Drosophila melanogaster: one gene and its partners. The gene in region 2 interacts genetically with the main gene of each other region. Each region holds a gene or a part of one and is shown on either strand. Other genes may lie near its edges. The genes, in order: Act88F, up and Tm2.

Evidence for each region.
Region 1: of up (region 2) and Act88F, changing one suppresses a phenotype caused by changing the other (phenotypic suppression), as found in Drosophila melanogaster (one study listed by BioGRID).
Region 3: of up (region 2) and Tm2, changing one suppresses a phenotype caused by changing the other (phenotypic suppression), as found in Drosophila melanogaster (one study listed by BioGRID).

What each region holds. Positions count from the first base shown.
Region 1 is NT_033777.3:15,438,262-15,442,021, reverse strand, and holds the start of Act88F (actin 88F), read right to left. Parts: upstream 2,054-3,760; 5' UTR 1,976-2,053; intron 1,423-1,975; 5' UTR 1,407-1,422; coding exon 482-1,406; intron 421-481; coding exon 215-420; 3' UTR 1-214.
Region 2 is NC_004354.4:13,600,651-13,604,410, reverse strand, and holds the start of up (upheld), read left to right. Parts: upstream 1-1,832; 5' UTR 1,833-1,993; intron 1,994-2,045; exon of another isoform or gene 2,046-2,182; intron 2,183-2,756; exon of another isoform or gene 2,757-3,043; intron 3,044-3,760. UniProt on the Drosophila melanogaster protein: Troponin T is the tropomyosin-binding subunit of troponin, the thin filament regulatory complex which confers calcium-sensitivity to striated muscle actomyosin ATPase activity.
Region 3 is NT_033777.3:15,308,101-15,311,860, forward strand, and holds the start of Tm2 (tropomyosin 2), read left to right. Parts: upstream 1-2,144; 5' UTR 2,145-2,199; intron 2,200-2,576; exon of another isoform or gene 2,577-2,973; intron 2,974-3,760. UniProt on the Drosophila melanogaster protein: Tropomyosin, in association with the troponin complex, plays a central role in the calcium dependent regulation of muscle contraction. May also regulate motor systems required to maintain nuclear integrity and apico-basal polarity during embryogenesis.

The DNA of each region.
Region 1 (3,760 bases), on a different chromosome or scaffold from region 2:
CTGCCGATGAAATGGCCATGAAGGATGAGCACCGACAACCGGAGGTTGCCTCTGATTATCTGCTGTGAATCTGAGTTGGATGATAATTGTTGTGCGATGGGTTCGCTGCTTTTGTCTATCACTGTCCGAGCCGAGGTTGTTGGGTAGCTCGATGGGTGCTTGTTGGTCGCTGCTGGTTGCTGCCTTTGAAGAGCTTTCGCGGCGGGCGAAAGACTTAAAAGCATTTGCGGTGAACGATTCCGGGGCCGGACTCGTCGTACTCCTGCTTCGAGATCCACATCTGCTGGAAGGTGGACAGCGAGGCCAGGATGGAGCCACCGATCCAGACGGAGTACTTCCTCTCGGGTGGCGCAATGATCTTGATCTTGATGGTCGATGGGGCCAGGGCAGTGATCTCCTTCTGCATACGATCGGCAATACCTGAAAGTGCACCAAAGGATTAAGCACAAGTGCAACTGCTGAAGCGAATGATTTGTCTTACCAGGGTACATGGTGGTACCGCCGGACAGCACAGAGTTGGCATACAGATCCTTGCGGATGTCCACGTCGCACTTCATGATCGAGTTGTAGACGGTCTCGTGGATGCCGCACGACTCCATGCCCAGGAACGAGGGCTGGAACAGAGCCTCGGGGCAGCGGAAGCGCTCGTTGCCAATGGTGATCACCTGGCCGTCAGGCAACTCGTACGACTTCTCCAGCGAGGTGGAGGCGGCAGCGGTGGCCATCTCCTGCTCGAAGTCCAGAGCCACGTAGCACAGCTTCTCCTTGATGTCGCGCACGATCTCACGCTCGGCGGTGGTGGTGAAGCTGTAGCCGCGCTCCGTCAGGATCTTCATCAGGTAATCGGTCAGATCGCGACCAGCCAGATCCAGACGCAGAATGGCGTGGGGCAGGGCGAAGCCCTCATAGATGGGCACGGTGTGGGAGACACCATCGCCGGAGTCCAGCACAATACCGGTGGTACGACCGGAGGCGTACAGGGAGAGCACGGCCTGGATGGCCACGTACATGGCCGGCGAGTTGAAGGTCTCGAACATGATCTGGGTCATCTTCTCGCGATTGGCCTTGGGGTTCAGTGGAGCCTCGGTCAATAATACTGGATGCTCCTCGGGGGCCACGCGCAGCTCGTTGTAGAAGGTGTGATGCCAGATCTTCTCCATGTCGTCCCAGTTCGTGATGATGCCGTGCTCGATGGGGTACTTCAGCGTCAGGATACCGCGCTTGCTTTGCGCCTCGTCGCCCACGTACGAGTCCTTCTGACCCATACCCACCATCACACCCTGGTGTCGGGGACGACCCACAATTGAGGGGAAGACAGCACGGGGAGCGTCATCACCGGCGAAGCCGGCTTTGCACATGCCCGATCCGTTGTCGATAACTAATGCACCCGCATCATCGTCACACATCTTGGCAGTTGTTTATCTGGAAGGGAGATGGAAGTGCACTCGGTTAGCTCGATCTGTCGATTATATATGTAAAGTTTTATAGCTCCCACCTACATCTCAATTCTTTAAATTCTACTACTTTAATGACAACATAGAAAACTAATTTGTGTCTCAAGAAAATATTTAACTTTTTAAGATATTGAAGAAGTGAAGTGAAACTCTATTGTCCATTTGAGCACATTTCAGTAAATAAAACCATGAAAAATTGCCAAAATTGGTATATTCCATTTCCTTTTGACTCATGCTAATATGGTTATTCACTTGAAACTAAATCAGTGCTCTATAAATATCGGAAAAGAATAGTTCATAGAACTTAATTTAAACGTATCAAATTAATTGAAAATACGTTTCGTTGCAATTACTCTTCACTTTATATTTAGATATTGAACTTTCGAAGACCGATTAGTGACTTGTAGAAAAATCCATCAAACAATCCGAACTTATTAAAAAGAGTTTTAATATCCTTAGTCCTCTTGGCTTTTTCTGTAATAATCCTTGGATCCTTCGACATTGAGGTCGCACTCACACACCTTTTAGGTCAACGAAAGGAGAAAAATTGGATAGAGTCGCACGTTCGATTCCTGTTGACAACTAGATTCAACAACAAATGGCACGCCGATCGGTCTGTCCTGCCTTTATATCTCGGCTCTCCCTCGAAGCGATTTGAGTTGGATGCCAGTGCGGCACTGAGAAAAAGATTGAGCGAAAGTGCTGCGGAACAATCGATCCATATAAGCAGTTTTCAGACTTCTGGCCGAGCATGTCAGAAGTTTGGATGCCTCATTGCACGAAGACGACTCATTAATGCGCTTCACAAAAAAAGGAAGCCACACAATTAAATACTTAATAAAGCATAGAATCATTTATTAAGATTACCAATAAATTCAATAAACGAGGGAATTTCCAAACTACGAAAATATGACATTTTATATTTTTTTCACATTGTTAGTAGGTACAAATCCTAGAAAAGGGTCTCATAACATATAACAGCTTAAATAACTATGTAGTAGAAGATAAACTTTATCTTCAATTCAGTTCATATTTAATCCTAGAAATATTTAATTAATTGACAATATATGATAGAAGTAAGCTATCAATCTTAGGACCCTATTCATTATTTGTAGGGAGTGCCAGGAGAGAGAAAGCTCTCGAAAGATAAGAGAACGCCATAGCCGAGTGATTAGCAGAGGTGCGTGATAGTCGGAGCATGGGCCATCTAAACGGCAATCAGCACTCTCGAGTGGCCAATTAGCCCCATCTCCGTCCCCATCTCTGTCCCAATCCTGCTGCCAATGGGCGACTGCTGCGGCGGACGACTCATTCGGTGCTGAGAGTTCGGAAAATAGAAACGGACCTTAGAAGGACCGACGCAAGACAATTGGCATCCGCGGCAGGGACTGGGAGAATGGGACATTTCAACGGGCACGCAGCGAGGCGAATCTAAAATAGACGCGCCAAGCAGAGCGGCACCTATAAATCAACATCAAGGTTGATCGAGATCTCCGCGCGCGGTGCTCGAGGAAGCTGCATCCACATTTGCAATCGCATTCTACAGAATGCTGCTGCACTTTGCATTGCGGCGCCGATGCAATCCCGAAGATGCGAAATCACCGTGCCGACCATTTATCAGTGCAATTAACCAACCATTGCCAGCCAGACCGAGCGAAAATGTATTTTCTCAATCGAACTGTATTTATCCTTTTATGTAGATTTAATTATTTTTTACTTCTTTCTATTTACGTTTTTATTGCTTGCCCACATGAATAATCGAATGCGGTTGGTCTAAAGATAGGATCTGATTGCTCGGAAGTGAATTGGTGGCATTCCCAAAGCGTTTTATTTGGTAATTGCCTTGATTGACATCGTGTATTGAGCAAGAGGTTAGTGGCTGCGAACAGAATTGTTCACCATTCTTATCTTTATTTTTTAATTTATGAAAAGTCATTCAACCACTGAATTGATTGGGCTCACCATTTATTTAAAAATTCATATCTTAACTAAATTTGCCTATTGTGCATTCTAGATATTTCTGAATTATACTTTTATTTCGGCAAATTGATATAATTGTGAAAAATATTTTAGAAATTTAAGTGTTTTTTTAAAAATTACACTTCTACTGCACACTTTTGTTCTCTTTCTATCGAAAGATAAATTAGTAATTAATTAATTTAATTACTATAACATTATGTAAACATCGTTAAATATTTGTATACCTATTTGTACGGTTTCAGGAATAATTTCTATTGGATTTGTATTGATGTACGTAAGAATTTCCCACGATTTATTTATTTGAATATTTCGTAGTCGAGACAAGA
Region 2 (3,760 bases):
CGCTTACAGATGTCGTTTATATCTGGACAGAACACGCCCGTACCATTTCATGCACTAAATCCCAGATAACTCGAACTGCCCACCTGTGTCCCATTGCGATTCTGTAGTTTTGTGGTTTTTGGCAAGCCATGCATAATACCTAGACCCATACATATCACATACACATACATATCTAATTATCTATGCATACATATCTATCTATCTGCGTATCTGGTGTGTGCATTTTGCATTTCGCAGAGGTGCAGATACAAAAATGTTCTAAATTTAAGATACTTGGTAACCAAAAACGAAATCAAAACAAATGCCGAAACTTTGCGACTATATAGTAATTTTACTATTGGAGAATATTGTAATATATATAATTTTAAAATAATATTCATCGCATGTTTTTAATTTACACAGAAGTCTATTTATTTGAACAACTTGTTTATGCAAGGAATTAAGAGAAGTCTTAAATTAATTTTTCTATAATCATATATAATGTAATGTAATCATAATATAATGTAATGTAATCATATATAATGTAATCATGTATGTATAAAAATTTTTACCCAGATTTTGAGGAACTTTGAGATAGCCCAAATATTTTTTTTTGCAGTATTAATAATTTAAGAAGATACAAGTGCAAGCGAAAAACTAAAAATTTTTTTTTTTTTTTATATTCTTCTAGAATTTATATCTAATTTTATGAAAAATTTGGCAAAAAAAAAAACAACGGAAATCGATGTTGATGAAAGTACATTTTTAAAATATTGTAAGTTTTTGCTTTATTTTAATTTTATTAATACTAGAATACAGAAACAAAATTAAATACAGAACAAAATATGTTTCACTACCCTTACTTAATACAAATATTTCTTATGTGTTATGATGTTTATTAAACGATATGAAAAAATTAATTTTTTTGGCAAAATTTACATATAGGAAAAAGAGATTTTGTCAAATTCTTCAAATTGATTTTGTATGCTTCGAAAAAATAACCCAATAAAGAATGAATTAAATTCGATAGCTTAAAGTGCTGCAAGGCGCGTAAGTGTATCTGAAACTATTTGCCAAAAGTATCTGTTAGAAAGTAAAATAAAAAAAATAGCATAGAAAAAGGAGAGAAATAAAAAAAGAAAATCGGAACAATGACGAATAGATTCAAGTGTTAGACAAATGGCAATGCGATGGGGCCACCTAAGGCCGTTCGACGTCAGCAGTTCGATCGCGATATAGATATAGGTAAATAAATATATATATATATATATATATATATAGGGGGTGATCGGTGATCGCGGCGGACTGGGTTGGAGATTTTGTAGGGCGTGCACTCTGGGGTTCAAATGCTGCAACGATCCGCTGAGGAATCCAAACTATATGTGCTATATATCGGCACGAACATCTGTACGTATATATTATAGAGCAATATATGCAGGCCGACTTTTTAATGGCTGTGAAATTTATGCTCTACGATATTTGATTCCAAAAACAAATGTGTAAAATGCCGCCAACGCACCGAACGTCCGTATGCGCTATATACTTATTGTATGATCTAGTTATGTGCGTGCGCCATTATGGTCTAATGTATAGTATATACTAATATCGTATGCCTCATCTCGCTCTGGCCAAAATGGAAAATTGGAAAACTCGACGGCGGCTGTGTGCGTGTACAAGTTTATGTTTCAGCTGCAGCCCACCTGAAAAATTCACCCAAAACACATCGAACACAGCCAACACAGGCAGGCGCACCCACCACCACCCACTTGTTGCCACATCGGCCAGCGATATGTGGCATATAGCGCTGGCCTGCTCGCACACATGGCCAGCTATTGGCTATATAGAAAGGCGATCGGTGTGTGCGTGGAAATGGCTTTTCCGCGAACGCGACGAAAAATTCTTTAACATAACGTGTAGCAGCGCTTTTCATCGTCAGTTTGGTTAGTCGAACCGCAGCATTCGCTCCTACGACGTCAGCTGCTCGGACTTCAATTCAATTTGTTTTTCTCCCTAAGTAAGTTTTTTTTTTTCTGTTTCTGCTCTACTGCTGCTTCACATCTCCTTCAAATGCTGCATCACCAAAAAAATAAAAAGAAAATATAAAATAAACTTGTGTGCCTAAAAACGAAAAGAAAGTTATCGAAAACGAGAAAACCGAATCCTTTGCGAATAAACCACGAACCACGAACATCAACAAAAGAAAGTTACGAATTGGAAAATCCTAGTGTTATATAACATTTTATTTTTTTTTTTGAAATTTTTTTAAAGTGCAATCTACGAACAAATAGTGCGAATAAATGACTTGAAAGCCACCAAAAAAACGAACTCTGAAGCCAACTTTTTCAAAAAATTTTTTTTTTTTAAACTTTTTTTTTTTATTATGGCTAAAGGCTAAAAATAATTTGAAAAAATTCGCCCAGGCATTGGCGGCGCCAAAAACAATATTCAACGGCAACTACAACAACAGGATTAGCCGCAGCAGCAACAACAACAACAAAATCAAAAGCAACAACAATGCCAGACAGGAATCTATACATATAAATATACATATACATATATGTATATCTTTTTGCTTTCTGAAAGTGTTATATGATCTGAGAGGAAAAGTTCTCAAATTTTTTTCGACGAATTTTAAAAATAAATTCGATTCGTATGTGTGCGCGAGCGAGTGTGTTTTTACCTTGGCAAAATGTCCAAGATACACACACACACACACACAGAGAAACACACACACACAGATACGTAGAGTGAAAACTTTTTTCAATAGCTTTCCGCGCAGGCGCCGATCAGATATGTTAAAGATATAGTAGGCGAAAACGAGACGGAACTATAGCCACCCACACAAGATCGATGGCGAATAGAGATCTGGAGATTTTTGGAGGATATATATAGGACTATAAATGGAAACAGGGCACAGATAGATTGAATTAAAGAAAGGGAAATTTGTAGAGTAAATTCGATAAGGATATAATGACAGGATATAAAAACAGCATATGACAGTTTTATGTTGCTAGGCAGGAAGTAGCTAACACTTACTCAAACTTTGAACTTGAAAAGACAAAAAGTAAGATTCAAAACCATGTTTTTGAAACTAACATGTATGATCAGTAACATTTTTGTATATGTAAGTGTGAAAAGACGATAGACGTATATTTCTGATAGTCTGTCGGATGATATTTAGATCATTACCAGTTTCAATTGAAAAGTTTGTTCAATTTTTCCAGAACTTTTCTCAATACATTTCACATCATTTCCAAGCACTTGCCCCAAAACTGACCCAGTTTATCTAAGGCTAAAAATACAAGCTCAGCAATTGCACTTCCACGCAAAAGTGCAAAGATTATAGAAATAGAATATTCATAATCATAGAAATTTCAAATAGCATATTAAATATATAAATTCGTGGCATAATAACTGGCATAGATATATACAGGCGATCTATGAATGGCATTTGATTTGATTTTCTTTTCATTACACACAAGTACGCCCAAATATATATCAATACATATACATATATAAATTGAAAAGCTTCTTTAGATTTTCCGATTTAGTGCCAAGGTAAAAAAAAAAACGAAAATTTTCAAAAAAGGCTTTGTCCGAAGCTTTTTGATGTTTTCGGAAGCTTTCGGCTCTCGGGAAATTCAATACTGCCCCAAAGTCTATTTTTAATTGAGAAAAAATCGGAGGAAAATGAAAAAACACACATACATAGATTGGACTACGACTCTCTCCTTCGCACACACACAGTTATAGATTGTGGATATAGATAGCATGGGAAATT
Region 3 (3,760 bases), on a different chromosome or scaffold from region 2:
CTACTAAGGGAATGAAATCCACTTCATGGGGAGATGAGCAGCAATCACTATGATGAAGACAAATGGAGTCCGAACGCATTCGACGTCCGAATTACAAATTATTTTTAGCATAACACTTCTTCGCCTAAGCATTCCCAAAAAAAAAACAACTTTCTTACATAAGAGCAAGAGTTTTACAATAAAGTAAAAAATACATTTTTAGCAATTACTATTGAAATTTATATGGAGCCTAAAGTTAAAACGAGTTGTGTAACGAAAAGAAACGCTGCCATTTTCCTTGAAACTAAAATTCCAGCTCGAAAAAGTATGTGTAATATTTTGAATACAAAACCCCAGAAAGCCCACCACTCAATATCGTTAATCAGCATCTTCAAATAAAAAACTCAGTTACGCTTAAGCCAGAGTCAATTTTTCTCAACTTTCTGTTGCTTGTGTGTTTTTATGGCAGTTCGCGAAGTGTATCTACAAAATTTCTATGGCCTTTGTATATGTTTAAACAACAAGAATAGGAGATATATTATTAGAATATATAAACGAAGACATATAAATTAAATTTACACATTTGTCATAGCTTTTGTAATTCTATGAAGCGTGCAAAACAAATATAACAATGTATGTATTTTTCTTTTTCAACTCAATATTTTTACGATCAATAAACTGAAATCATTCTTTTGCATATAAAAAATTTCATGGATTTTTTATTTAAACGGTGGGTTGCATTAGTTAAATAATAAAAATATGCACTGATCATGAATCGAATATAAAGGACATAAAGTGTCCTGTTGGTTTCAATCTGCCGGAATATTGTGTATCCTTATTAAAAGTTAATATTGAAATCAAAATCAAATCATGCTTATATCCCAAAACTTATAGGATGTTTTTATTTGTGTTGGAATAACCATATTTGTCACATGTGTGATATTTTAACTCAACATTAAATATTCTTTGGAGCTACATATATAAAAAAAGTTTAAAATAAGCTTAAAGAAGAAGGGTTTTGAAAAATCGAATTTGAAAACTGAATACGTTTGCTCGCCAATTAGTTGTTTTTGAACAGTTTTGAAAATATGAAGTTTCAAACATTTTCCTAAATCAAGAAGAGCTATAAATCAACTAAAATTTGAAGTTATAAAAGTCTATAAATAAAGTGCACAATATTATTGACTTATGTAGGTTTGGCTTTTAAGTAAAATTTATTGCTGAACGAGAATAAAAAGATCGGGAGTACATATAAGTGTAATCCAGAGACTATGAGACATTTGGTGGAATCTTCTTGATATATAATAGTATTAAAGAAGATGTTACGTCACAGAAATATTGAAAGAAGAAGAAAATTGAACTGGATTTTGAGATGAATTGCTAAATGGATTTAGCGAGGTCGGACATATAAATAAAACCCACCATATATATTTATCTTTTAAATATACCTATATAAAAATATACATATATCTATAGAATTTCTTAGTTTAGAGTTTTGATAACAATTTTTCCATATCGTTACTTAATTGGTTATTAAAATAAATAAATTATAGATTTTATTCTTCAGTTATATAGTAAGTTAAGTGGTTTTGTTTTAGCAAAAAATCGAACGGGGACAATTAACACACAAGAAAATCGGATCAATTGCCTTGCATTCGAGACTTTCGAAAGCAAAAGAACGGCAGGAAAACGCTGGCCGATCAAAATTCCAAATATTTCTCAATATTTTTTTACCGAGCGAAAATAGATTTTCATCTTGTTGGACTTTTGCTCTTGCTGCTTGTGGCTATTTTTGGCCGTGTATCTGACGGATACACGCACACACACAGACAGCGAGAGTGCTGTGAGTAAAATATAAATTGAATTTAGATTTAAGAAGCAGAAAGAAAAGCGCATAAATTTCACGAGAATGCAGCCCAAAAGAGAGAGCATCGTATGAAGCAGCTTTTGGGGGAAATTTCGAGGGAAATTTTCGAGATCGCCGAGCAAAGTTGCGAAAGCGCCATTCCACATATACATTTATTAATGGGAAATTTTTGAGGCGAGAAATTATTCAATACCGCGTTGGTGTGTGCCCTCAGTGTGTGTGAGTTTTTCCGATTTTCCGAGTGGCAGTGTGCGTGTGCGTTGGATCTTGGGGTCGCTTTCTGGGCTAAGCAACTTGGTCAGCATCAGTGTTCTCGGGGTTTCGACAGCGTATAGTGTGTTTGAAACGCTAAGGTTGGTCACGCCAGGATTTTCACCCGACAAGAATTAACTCAAAATAAATATAATTAAATCGCTCGCCTTTGCTGCTAACCAAATTGGTATTTTCAACTGGATTTCGAGTGGATAACAAAATTGTGATAAGTGCATGGCATTCAAAATTATAAATTTTGAATTTTCCCCAAACGGGAAAAAAAAGGAAAACCTTGTTAAACTTAAATAAAATGTGCATATGTATATGTGTCAATTAGCCTGGATATAAAGTTCTACAAAAAGTTAAATGAGTGATCCAAATGTAATGGAAGTGAAAATTGCTATAACTAAAAAAATGAATATCTCTAAAAAACTTAAAATGAACGATCTAAACTACTTGAAAATGGAGATCTTATGATCATTTTTCGGATATTTTCAAAATTCGCTTATAAGGAATTTTGTAACTAAATCTGACGGCACCAATACCATCCAATAAATATCTGTGTGTGTGTGAGAGAATTTTTTTTTGCACACACACACATGAGCTTCATTCGGAAAGCTCTACACGAATGGGACACATATACATATGCACCTTACACACTTATGGCACGCACAATTTTCACACACACAATCACACTCGACCGATAAAGTTTTCCTCGAAGAAAATTCTTTAAAATTAACTGCAGACAGACACCTGCCTGTCACACACACACAGACATACGCATTTATTTTTAACTCTGCCTGAAATTTATACGAAAAAGCTTTTCCGTCTAGCTTTCTGTGATCTCAGAAAACGAAGGCAGTCGAGAACTATAGGTATTTATCCTTGAGATTGTTTTCGAGAGAGATATTTTGGAAAATATTAGAGACGTAGACGATTCCCAGATGCGGATACATATGGTATCTATCTGGGAATATATATATTCAAGGCATAGCCACCCACACAGAATTGTAGATTTCAGAGCGAATATTTCTAGCCATTCGTGAATGCGTCCGAAGGCCGCAAAATTTGCCATCTTTAAGATACATATTCGAACTGATTGAAAGCCCAAGTACCTTTGGCAATCACCAAAAATTTTAATGATGTGAAAACTAAGTAGCTATTTAACATATTATAAGTTATTTAAAGTCTTTAGAAAGAAATCCTTTTTACCTCATAAATCACATATTAAACATTGCTTATGTTTTTTTGGGTACAAAACACACATGAGTATCGCAAGACCTCCAAAAGATCAGCAACTACAACATAAATGACTTTGCCCCACTTTGGGTGGTAGCAACATAGATACACGAATTCGAATACGAATACGCCCACACACCAAATGACCCCAAAGAATTGAATACTTTTCAAATTGCAATCGGTGGCGAGCTATGTACATATATATGTGGGGTATTTCGAAATAATAGGGGGAAACTCTAGAATTACATTTAGCACACAATGTCCAAAAAAGCATTTCTCCTATGCGTGTGTGTGCGAGTGGACTGGATATTTTTTTCTCACATGCAAAAGCATATAAAGTTTATTTTTAACCCCACCGAATCGTGCAGCAAATAAACATATAAACATATAGCTCACCGACGGATCCGGATTCGGATTTTGAGT